Linked DNA regions of Rattus norvegicus. The protein of the gene in region 3 binds, or shares a complex with, the protein of the main gene of each other region. Links are inferred from orthologs where the notes say so. Each region holds a gene or a part of one and is shown on either strand. Other genes may lie near its edges. The genes, in order: Ppie, Prpf19 and Xab2.

Evidence for each region.
Region 1: Xab2 (region 3) and Ppie share a complex: the UniProt entries of both Homo sapiens proteins name them as parts of the XAB2 complex. The link is inferred for Rattus norvegicus from reciprocal best matches to the Homo sapiens genes XAB2 and PPIE.
Region 2: Xab2 (region 3) and Prpf19 share a complex: the UniProt entries of both Homo sapiens proteins name them as parts of the XAB2 complex. The link is inferred for Rattus norvegicus from reciprocal best matches to the Homo sapiens genes XAB2 and PRPF19.

Annotation. Positions count from the first base shown.
Region 1 is NC_086023.1:140,697,806-140,701,456, forward strand, and holds part of Ppie (peptidyl-prolyl cis-trans isomerase E), read right to left. Parts: intron 2,435-3,651; coding exon 2,353-2,434; intron 1,932-2,352; coding exon 1,831-1,931; intron 1-1,830. UniProt on the Homo sapiens protein: Involved in pre-mRNA splicing as component of the spliceosome. Combines RNA-binding and PPIase activities.
Region 2 is NC_086019.1:216,969,442-216,973,092, forward strand, and holds part of Prpf19 (pre-mRNA-processing factor 19), read left to right. Parts: intron 1-795; coding exon of another isoform or gene 796-852; coding exon 853-994; intron 995-1,089; coding exon 1,090-1,163; intron 1,164-1,255; coding exon 1,256-1,318; intron 1,319-2,040; coding exon 2,041-2,082; intron 2,083-2,179; coding exon 2,180-2,254; intron 2,255-2,526; coding exon 2,527-2,602; intron 2,603-2,766; coding exon 2,767-2,876; intron 2,877-3,651. UniProt on the Homo sapiens protein: Ubiquitin-protein ligase which is a core component of several complexes mainly involved pre-mRNA splicing and DNA repair. Required for pre-mRNA splicing as component of the spliceosome.
Region 3 is NC_086030.1:6,465,033-6,467,687, reverse strand, and holds the end of Xab2 (pre-mRNA-splicing factor SYF1), read left to right. Parts: intron 1-325; coding exon 326-488; intron 489-592; coding exon 593-783; intron 784-941; coding exon 942-1,064; intron 1,065-1,155; coding exon 1,156-1,327; intron 1,328-1,541; coding exon 1,542-1,671; intron 1,672-1,794; coding exon 1,795-1,904; intron 1,905-1,987; coding exon 1,988-2,049; 3' UTR 2,050-2,118; downstream 2,119-2,655. UniProt on the Homo sapiens protein: Involved in pre-mRNA splicing as component of the spliceosome. Involved in transcription-coupled repair (TCR), transcription and pre-mRNA splicing.

The DNA.
Region 1 (3,651 bases), on a different chromosome or scaffold from region 3:
AGGTGCACAAGTAATCTTCCCAACATATCATCACAACATAGTGCCATCAAACAGCCTGAACATGGATGCTGACAGTAAGGTCTTGGACCCTGACAGGGCTGTAGGAGGCAGGAACTATGGTCACAATACCCAACTAGACACCCAGTGACAGGAAACCTCACTCAGCACTGTAAAACAGGACCCCTAGCCATGGCAGATCTCTTCACGATCCCCCTCAGACATGCCTGCTCGCCTCCCTTGTCCTGCAACTCGCTGGGTCAGAATACTCACCCCCTCATCGTCAGTGCCTAGGTTGTCATCTACCTTACTACAGCAGCCCAGTACTGCTTTCTTACATGCCTAATTGTCACTGTCACAGGCCACCCTGGAAGCATGGGAAAGCCCTTCTGATGGCGTCCAAATGCTCAAAGCACAAGAGGCTGAGACTTGCTTGTATTTAAGTAGGGGAGACAAAAGCAGAGGAAAGCCGATAGGGAACAAACATCACATTGGTTTTGGCTCAGCTGAGGCACACCGAGGAATCATGCGATGCTCTAACTACTGCTGTTTCCATTGGGACTAGCAATACCACGGCAGCAACAATGCAGCTCTTGCTGTATTGCTTGGGTCTTGAAGGAAGAGATGAGTTAAGACCTGAAGCTACTTTCTTCCTTCAAGTTTATGCAGTTAGATATATATTACATTTACTATATACTGTACACATATACATAGATTTAATGAGCCCTAGCTCATTAAACAGATTACCCAGAAACGGGCAATCAGCACTGGAGTATCCTGTGCAAAAGCAACATTGTGCATGGAAACACAATATTTCACTGAGTGCCGAGTAGGGACTACACGGCAGGGAAGCGGAATGACATTGAAAAGATAGACAAGAGGGACCTGGAAGCCCTTATGCCCTGAGATACATGGCAGGGGAGTGAAAAGCTTGGAGCATGAGGGTGAATGATTGGATCTGTGCTCCAGAAAGATTATTCTACCTTCCTTGGGAAAGGACTGGAAGATCCAAGACTGTAGCCACAAACCACTGAAATCACCCAAACAAAAGGCCAGGTCAGACCCAGATCACATTCGTAACAAGGAAGGCTGTCAAGAAAGCACCCGAGCGTGATGATGCACTGGTTCTACTGCTGTAAAGAAGGGACCAGATGATCCGGGGAACTCCACTGTGAGCGCTACTTTAAGTCCGCATACAGATTCTGGCTTAGATAACTGTGTGGCTAGATAGTAACCAAGATTAAGAGCACAGGAGAGCAGGATAAGGGAGAGCATCCACTCAAGGCAAAATAAACCACAATGAGACTTGCAGCCGGAAACTGAAGTCCAATGTTAGAAACAGAGGCCATCGAAGCTGACAGTACAGCACAGGAGGGCTGCAGACAGCAAGAGTGACGTCATCTGAGAGAGGACAGAAAAGCCACACGCCATTATAAACCTCACAGGGTACACAGAGGAACTGAAGTCCTGCAGCAGTGGTCAGGGAGGTGAGCTGAGAACCAGATGTGCCAGGGCCACACTGCATAGGCAAACCCAGAACACACAGATAAAGGGAAGCAACACTACCTGTCCTGTTACCTCTGCAGGAGTCCAAAATCAAGACAGAGAGCAAGGAGCTAAAGCCCTCAGCATAGGAGGGCTGCCTGGTGGGGTGCGGGGGAGTAGTACAAACACAGCTCCCAAAGCTGCGCCCCTTCACCCCCCGCACCGCCTTCGCTGAGCTCTAAGTGCACCACGTGCCCACCGCACTTTGATAAATGCTCGGTCTGCAAGCCCCCATCACAACCTGAGCACAGAATGCCTTCAGGAGGGAAGCGTCCCTTGCACTCTCACCTCTGGGGCTTCAGCTTTGGGAGGCTCAGGTCCTTCTTCTTCTTTATTCTCCTCAAGAGTCTTCCCAGAAAACTTCTTCAACCAGTCATCATCTGACCAAACTAGACGGAAAAGACACACAAAAGTTAAGAAATTCATACTATTCCTCAACTGCTGGCAGCTGCTTTGATCATCTTTGTCGTCCTCTAGCCCAGAGAAGTTCCCCTGCAGAATCCTCAAGACCAAGTTCCCACTGAGAATCCCTAGAGGACAGGCTCTTAGCAGCACTAACGGAAAAAGCTACGTCAAAGATATAGCTTCTAGGAATGGAGTACCAAGAAAACTTGGAGGACACCAGACAGGGTTCTCTCAGAAGACGACCAATTACTCTGGCTTTGCCACTGTTCACTCATAATATACACCCTCCACAGTGTAAACCACCCTTTTGTCCTCACTCCTGTCTACCAGAAGCCAGCACTGAACATGCACACAAAGAAGGGCAAACCAGAGGACCTGACAAGGACTCTGAGGTGCCCCACTCACCTGGCCTGGAAGAGCCCTCTTTAATTCTCATTGGCTTGGCCAAATTGACACGAATTGTCCGTCCAAAGAGTTCAGATTCATTCTGGAAAGAGTGTAAATCCAGTCGCTTAAACTGTCAGGTTACAAAACTCTGGCAGCAACCAGGTGGTGGTGACAGGCATCTGTAATCCTTGCACTCAGAGGTTGAAGCAGGTAAATCTCTGAGTTCAAGTCTAGCCTGGTTTAGAGTTTGAGGACAGCCAGTGTTATACAGAGAAACCCTGCCTCAAATAAACAAAAAACCAACTCTGGCAGCTTTTCATTTACTCCTGAGACCTGATTAGTGTTTCCTTTTAATCCTGGATCCCTTAGCAATGAAAACTATGTTCTCACCACCAACATTATCAAGGAAGAAAATTACAAGGTACTTCCTCCCTGGAGCTGCTGCAAACCTTTAATACCACCAAAGATCTGCACTACTAAGGTAATTCTGAGCTCAAGGGACTCAAGCAACAGGGTACGTAGACCCCGAGTTCCCCTTTAAAAGCAAGATGGGCTTTGAAATAGTATACATGGAGACTGGGTAGCAGAGAACAATGAATAAAGAACTTCACCAAGATATCAGCACCAGGAAAGGCCACTTAATGTGAACCTTAAGGCAGCAGTGAAAACTCTGTGGCAAAAACTAAAAAAAAAAGGTCTTCTATTAGGATGTTATGATGATACCAGAAAAACATGAAAGTGTAAATTTCTTAGTATTTAGAATCAGTTATGTAGAAAAAAATAAGAAAAAAAAATAGAATCAGTTATGCCAGATTTCTAATGGAAACATGTAACCAGGGATGAATAGTTTTACAGATTTTTTTTCCAGCCAAGTTCTAGACACAGGATGTGACGCCTCTGAATTTCATCTGACACAACAACGCACAGGTGTCTTAGGTCGCACATCTTTAAGAGCGCCGGCATTTCCAAGGATTCTCCCAGCTGTTTCCTTCCGAGTCAATAGTATGGCCTTTGGTTAACTCTTCCTGAATCTCCCCTCTCTATTGTTAACTAATAATAACTAATAACTAATTAACTGATAATAATAATAACAACTAATTGTTATCTAATGATCTAACATTGCACGAAACCTTTCCCCTTTGCATATATTTGCTGTTTCAGTGAGCAATTCAGTTGGGACTGTATTTGCCACTTGCCATCACGTAGGGCGGCCAGTGAAAGACAAGCCAGGAGGATGAGCAGGAAGTACCCTAGTAAATGGAGAGGCGCCTGGGCAGGAACTAATTTTACCAGTGATCGGTCCACAATGGCTACTCT
Region 2 (3,651 bases), on a different chromosome or scaffold from region 3:
TGAACCACCCTGTGGGGTTTGGGACTTGGACCTGAGTCCTCTGGAAGAACAGCAAGTGCTCTTAATTTCCGGGCTCTCAACTCTCTGCAGGCCCTCTTACTGTCTTGAGATAGGACTTTGCTTTGTTAGACTAGTCTGAAACTTTGATCCTTTTGCCTCAGCCTTCTAGTGCTAGGATTATAAGTGCCAACCACCAGGCCTGACTCTTGGGGGTGATGAACACAGGGTTAATGTAATCCCTGTACCACTGAGCAGCCCCCCTCATTTTGTGCTGGCCTTATTTCATTTGTGAGGAACAGGATAGCAATACAAGAGGAGCCCGGTTGTTGGAACTCTTGCAGACCTAGATTCCAAAGTTTTCTCCACTGTCAGCCTTTGTGACTTAGGACACACTGCTCAGTCTCTAAGACTTGACTTCCTGACTACAGGACACTCATTAGTCTTGTCTATCTGGATTCTGTAAGTAGAATGCAGTTGACATATTTGCCTTGTGACACCAGGGACTCTTTCATTACTGGGCTCTGCATTTGCTGAGGATAGCCAGTAAATAATCACAGCAGTATAATTATTTCCTTTCAGAGAGGTGATGACATTAATGCCTGTGATTTGCTGGTGAATTGCAAAGGTTGGGGTGGGAAGGAGCTAATTCTTACTCTGTGTGTGTCCAGGGTGTGGTATGGGGTAGGAGCCTGAATGTCGTACAGGGCATTCAGGGTCACTCAGATGTTGGCTTGGGTCTCTGAGTAGCTCAGGTTGGTTTCAGTGTAGAATAGGAGGTGGTGTCCTCTTCTCTAGGGTTGGCCGAATTCTCCGGCTCTCCCCCAGTCCTCACAGTGGCCTACCCTCTCCCAGGATGCAGTCATGCTGCACAGCTTCACTCTTCGCCAGCAGCTGCAGACAACCCGCCAGGAACTGTCCCACGCTCTGTACCAGCACGATGCTGCCTGCCGAGTCATTGCCCGGCTCACCAAGGAGGTCACTGCTGCTCGAGAAGGTCTCTGGTGTTCCCTGCTGCTCCCCACCCTCTTCTGGCCCTGCTGCTGGCCCTGCTTTGTTATGTCCCATTTCTAACCTCATCTTTTCTCTCAGCTCTGGCTACTCTGAAACCACAGGCTGGTCTTATTGTACCTCAGGCTGTGCCAAGCTCACAGCCCAGTGTTGTGGTAAGTGTTCCCTTCCAGGCCCCAGTAGCTGTCCCTTACACAGACAGTTTTGGTATTGTGAGCCCCTCCTACTCTCCCTTTCTTTTCTACAGGGTGCAGGAGAGCCCATGGATTTGGGTGAGCTTGTGGGAATGACCCCTGAGATTATCCAGAAGGTAAGTTGTGTGTTCTTCTGATGGGACTGCAGTCTCTCCCTTAGTACTGTAGGCATTGGGGGCCTGTAAGACTCTCACAGTGGGCAATGAGAGGAGCCTGTACTGCCAATCAAGAGCTTTCTGATGACACTTACTTCAGTCTGGCTTCCTTTGTCTCATTTCCCTGGCTTCTGAATAGAATGAGGGGTGTGTGTTTCGTAGGCTTACTGTGGGAAAGATTTAATTACCTATGAGGGAAGTTTTTAGCTCTTGCAGTTTTTGCAGTCCTTGTTGATATTAAGTCATTTCGTTATAGATTTTGATCATTTTGCCTTAGGGCAAGAGTTATCTTTGTATTAAGATGAGGAGTCTGAGGTGGCAAGTCAGACAGCTGTGAAGAGGCAGAGCAGACTTCAGACTACAGCTAGGTTCTGTTGGATGTAGTCTTCATTTGTGGGTCAACGGAGTGAGCGCTCATCTGAGCTCTCATGTTTGTAGCCTAGACCTGCTCCCAGAGCACTACAACCTGGTTCCTGTCCCACCTGCTGTGGCAAGGGAGTTCTTTTGATGTTCAGTTTTCTCAGCTATACCATAAGGTTGTGGATACCTCACCTTATAAGATGGGGGTGGAGGTGTGTCAGCTTTTAGCCCACAGTTTGGCAGATGGCGTGTTTTGGTGATGTATCAGATGTGACTAGCACCCAGTGTGCTTTGTGTCACAAAATTATTTATGTTCTCCACAGCTTCAAGACAAGGCCACTGTACTAACCACGGAGCGTAAGAAGGTGAGTTGTTGCCTGCTGGGAACACCCACCTTCTTGGAGAAAGGGCTCGTTGAAGCCTGCTTTCATTGCTGCTCTTGGGGGCTTTTTGTTTTCTCAGAGAGGAAAAACTGTCCCTGAGGAGCTGGTGAAGCCTGAAGAGCTCAGCAAGTACCGGCAGGTGGCATCCCATGTGGTAAGTGGCTGAAGGTGGCCAGCCTGCGGAGTCATGAGAAATGCTACCTGGGTCCCTGGCAGAGTGTCTCACCTTGGCTGCTCTTCTGTCCTGCCATGCAGTGGGGGGAATTGGTACATCCAGGCAGCCAGCCAAGCTGGGTGGATAAGGAATAGAACTCACTCTTCTTTCCTGACTGGGGAGGAAAATGAGGGGTGTGGGGAAGGGGAGTGGAGGACCTGTATGGCTTGGATTTGGCTGTGACTGGGTTTCATGTGGCTCTGTCTGCAAAGGGGCTACACAGTGCTAGCATTCCTGGGATTCTTGCTCTGGACCTGTGTCCCTCAGACACCAACAAGATTCTTACTGGTGAGTCTAGGTCTGGCCTGACAGCCAAGATGAGGGATGGCAGGACCCAGGGAAGATATAACCCCCCTTGGTCCTTTGCATGGATTTAAGGACAGAAAGACCTTCTGTGGCCCAGGGATACTTTAAGGCCTGCCTCATTTTTGTCTTCTTTGTATCTTCTTCAGGTGGGGCAGATAAAAACGTTGTTGTCTTTGATAAGAGTACTGAGCAAATCCTGGCCACTCTCAAAGGCCATACCAAGAAGGTCACCAGTGTGGTGTTTCATCCTTCTCAGGTAAGACACTCTCGAAGTCACCCTTGTCTTATTTCTAAGTCCAGATCCAGTGGTTTTGAGGCTCAGAACTAATTGCCCAACCTCTAGTGTTTTGGTGAAACAGGCATTGATGTTCCCATGCTGACCCCCAAGACTGTTGAAAGTCGTGTGAGTTCTAATAGATGAGAACCCTTGATTTAGAGGATAAAAGTAGCTTATTAGATGAGATTAATGGTTTCATAGAATACAGTGGCTTTGGTATGCTGCTGCCTCAGGTACTTGAGCAGCCTCCCAGGTAGTCTTTCTCTTCATACGTTAGGAAACTTAGATGTAGGGCTGGAGCGACGGCTCAGCAGTTAAGAGCACTGACTGCTCTTCCAGAGGTCCTGAGTTCAATTCCCAGGAACCATATGGTGGCTCACAACCATCTGTAATGAAATCTGATGCCCTCTTTTTTTTTTTTTTTTTTTTAAAGGATTTATTTATTTATTATATATACATCATACAGCTTTCTGCCTGAATGTATTCCTGCAGGCCAGAAGAGGGCACCAGACCTGATTATAGATGGTTGTGAGCCACCATGTGGTTGCTGGGAATTGAACTCAGGACCTCTGGAAGAGCAGACAGTGCTCTTAACCTCTGAGCCACCTCTCCAGCCCTGATGCCCTCTTCTGGTGTGTCTGAAGACAGCTATAGTGTACTCATATATAATATTTAAAAAAAAGGAAACTGAGAAATAGAGGAATTTATGTTTGTCAGTGTTCTCTTGCTGTAAAGAGGCACCATGATCGTGGCA
Region 3 (2,655 bases):
GTGGCCGTGGGTATTTCTGTGTCTGTGGTGGCCATAGGCAGATACACAGGTAGGGAGGTTGCGTCTGTCCATGTGTTCCTAGTCCTTCTGTCCGGGAGTACGAGTGTGTCTGTAGAGCTTAGGAGCGACCTCGTCCGTGAGGTATCAGACTGCAGAAAGTCCCTGCTCCCCTGCCTTAGGTCCTTGTTGTTGGCAGAGGGAACCAGTGACTGACATACTTACATGTGCCATGATGGAGGGCTGGGCAAAGAAGGGGTCCTGGGCAAGCTCATGGAGACATGAGCCAAGGCATCTGGATGCTAACCCATGGCTTCCTTGGAAACAGGCATATGAGCGTGGCATCTCGCTGTTCAAGTGGCCCAATGTTTCCGACATCTGGAGCACCTACCTGACCAAATTCATCTCCCGCTACGGGGGCCGCAAGCTGGAGCGTGCACGGGATCTCTTTGAGCAGGCACTAGATGGCTGCCCACCAAAATATGCCAAGAGTGAGGAGGCTGCGGGCTGTCCTGGGACATGGGGACATCATAAGAAGGGATGAGCAGCACGGTTGAGCTCTGCACTGCTAACTGGACCCTTGTATCATGGGCAGCTTTATACCTGCTTTACGCACAGCTGGAGGAGGAGTGGGGCCTTGCCCGCCATGCCATGGCTGTGTATGACCGTGCTACCAGGGCAGTGGAGCCAGCCCAGCAGTACGACATGTTTAACATCTACATCAAGCGGGCTGCTGAGATCTACGGTGTCACCCACACTCGCGGCATCTACCAGAAGGCCATTGAGGTACCCACCACCAGTGACCTGGTATGGGGTTGGGGTCCATGCAGGCAGGAGGATCCCAGAAAGCCTGCCTGCATGGGATGAGTGGCAGAAGGCTGTCCTGAAGCCAGGTACTGGGACCCCTTTCCCTTAACCCTGCTCCCCCTGCCCCATGGTGCCAGGTGCTGTCTGATGAGCATGCCCGTGAGATGTGCCTGAGGTTTGCAGACATGGAGTGCAAGCTCGGCGAGATCGACCGTGCCCGGGCTATCTACAGCTTCTGCTCCCAGATCTGTGATCCCCGGGTAGGGTGTGCCCAGTGTCGCGGGGGGAGGGTGGGCAGTGGGGATGCTGTACCAAGCACCTGGCTCACTGATGTGCTGCATCCCACCACAGACAACTGGGGCATTCTGGCAAACGTGGAAGGACTTTGAGGTCCGGCACGGCAACGAGGACACCATCAGGGAGATGCTGAGGATACGGCGGAGTGTGCAGGCCACGTACAACACTCAGGTCAACTTCATGGCTTCGCAGATGCTCAAGGTGTCGGGCAGTGCCACGGGCACGGGTGAGCTTCTGTAGCCTTCCCTTCCTATGATGGCTAGGCCACGCGGAGCAGTGTGTCTGCCCTGTCCCGGAGCACTCACTGCCCGGCCTAGGCCTCCTAGCTCTGCCAGCATTTGGAACCAATCCTGAGAATGGCTGGGGCTGGTCTGATGTGCCTTGCAGAGGGCCTGTGGTCTGACGCTGACCTTCCCTCCCTGCCTGCCCCGCACCCCCAGTGTCTGACCTGGCTCCCGGGCAGAGCGGCATGGATGACATGAAGTTGCTGGAACAGAGAGCAGAACAGCTAGCGGCCGAGGCAGAGCGGGACCAGCCCCCCAGGGCCCAGAGCAAGATCTTCTTTGTGAGGTGAGGGCAGGAGCGGGGTGGACCAGTCCTTCTTAGGAAAGGGGTGTTCCAGAGAAGCTGCTGGAGGCAGGAGGGGTCCACTGAAGCAGCTGACAGCCACCACCTTCCCTCTCCAAACCCCAGGAGTGATGCATCCAGGGAGGAATTGGCAGAGCTGGCTCAGCAGGCCAACCCTGAGGAAATCCAGCTGGGCGAGGACGAGGACGAGGACGAGATGGACCTGGAACCCAATGGTCAGTGGCCAGCCCCAGGGCCAGGGTTAAAGCAGATGGGCCTCCCCATCCCACCCCCACCTTGACCTTACTTTCCCCCACAGAAGTCCGACTGGAACAGCAGAGTGTGCCAGCTGCTGTGTTCGGGAGCCTAAAGGAAGACTGAAGCCTCCACACTTTCCCCTCCATGGTCTCTCCCCCATAACTCTCCCTCTAATACAACCCCTCTTTGTACATCACTGTCTCAACCTTCCTGCCGCCTGCCCAGGTGCCTCAGGGCATGCTAGCTTAGAGCTGCCTGGATCTCTGCACTGATTGGCTGGGACAGGAGGTGGAGTAGTCAGGGGATGTGTCGTGTGGACAACCTGCCCTCACCCTGCAGAGCCAGTTCTGGACGCCGCAGGGCCAGTTCCCCAGCCCCACCCCAGGCCTCTTGTCAGGCCTGCCCTCCTTGAGCCCGAAACCAAGGGGCACCAGCCTCACTTACGTGGGAGTCACAGCTCTAGGACTTCACAGACCCATGTGCCTCCGTGTAGTAACAGGCCCCAGGAGCCTACTAGCAAGGTGCTTGTGTCTCTGGCTAAAGGCCAGACAACCAGGCCTGGTACACAGGCCACATCCAGGGTGGAGCCCTTACAGCTTAAGCTCTGGGAAGCCATTAGTGGCCTCTGGACCATTAAGGGGCTTTGGCATCAGGGGACATAATCAGATTTGTGTGTAGAGCCGGTCACACAGGCTGCCACGTGAGCAGGCGCAGTTGGAGACAGGCTGT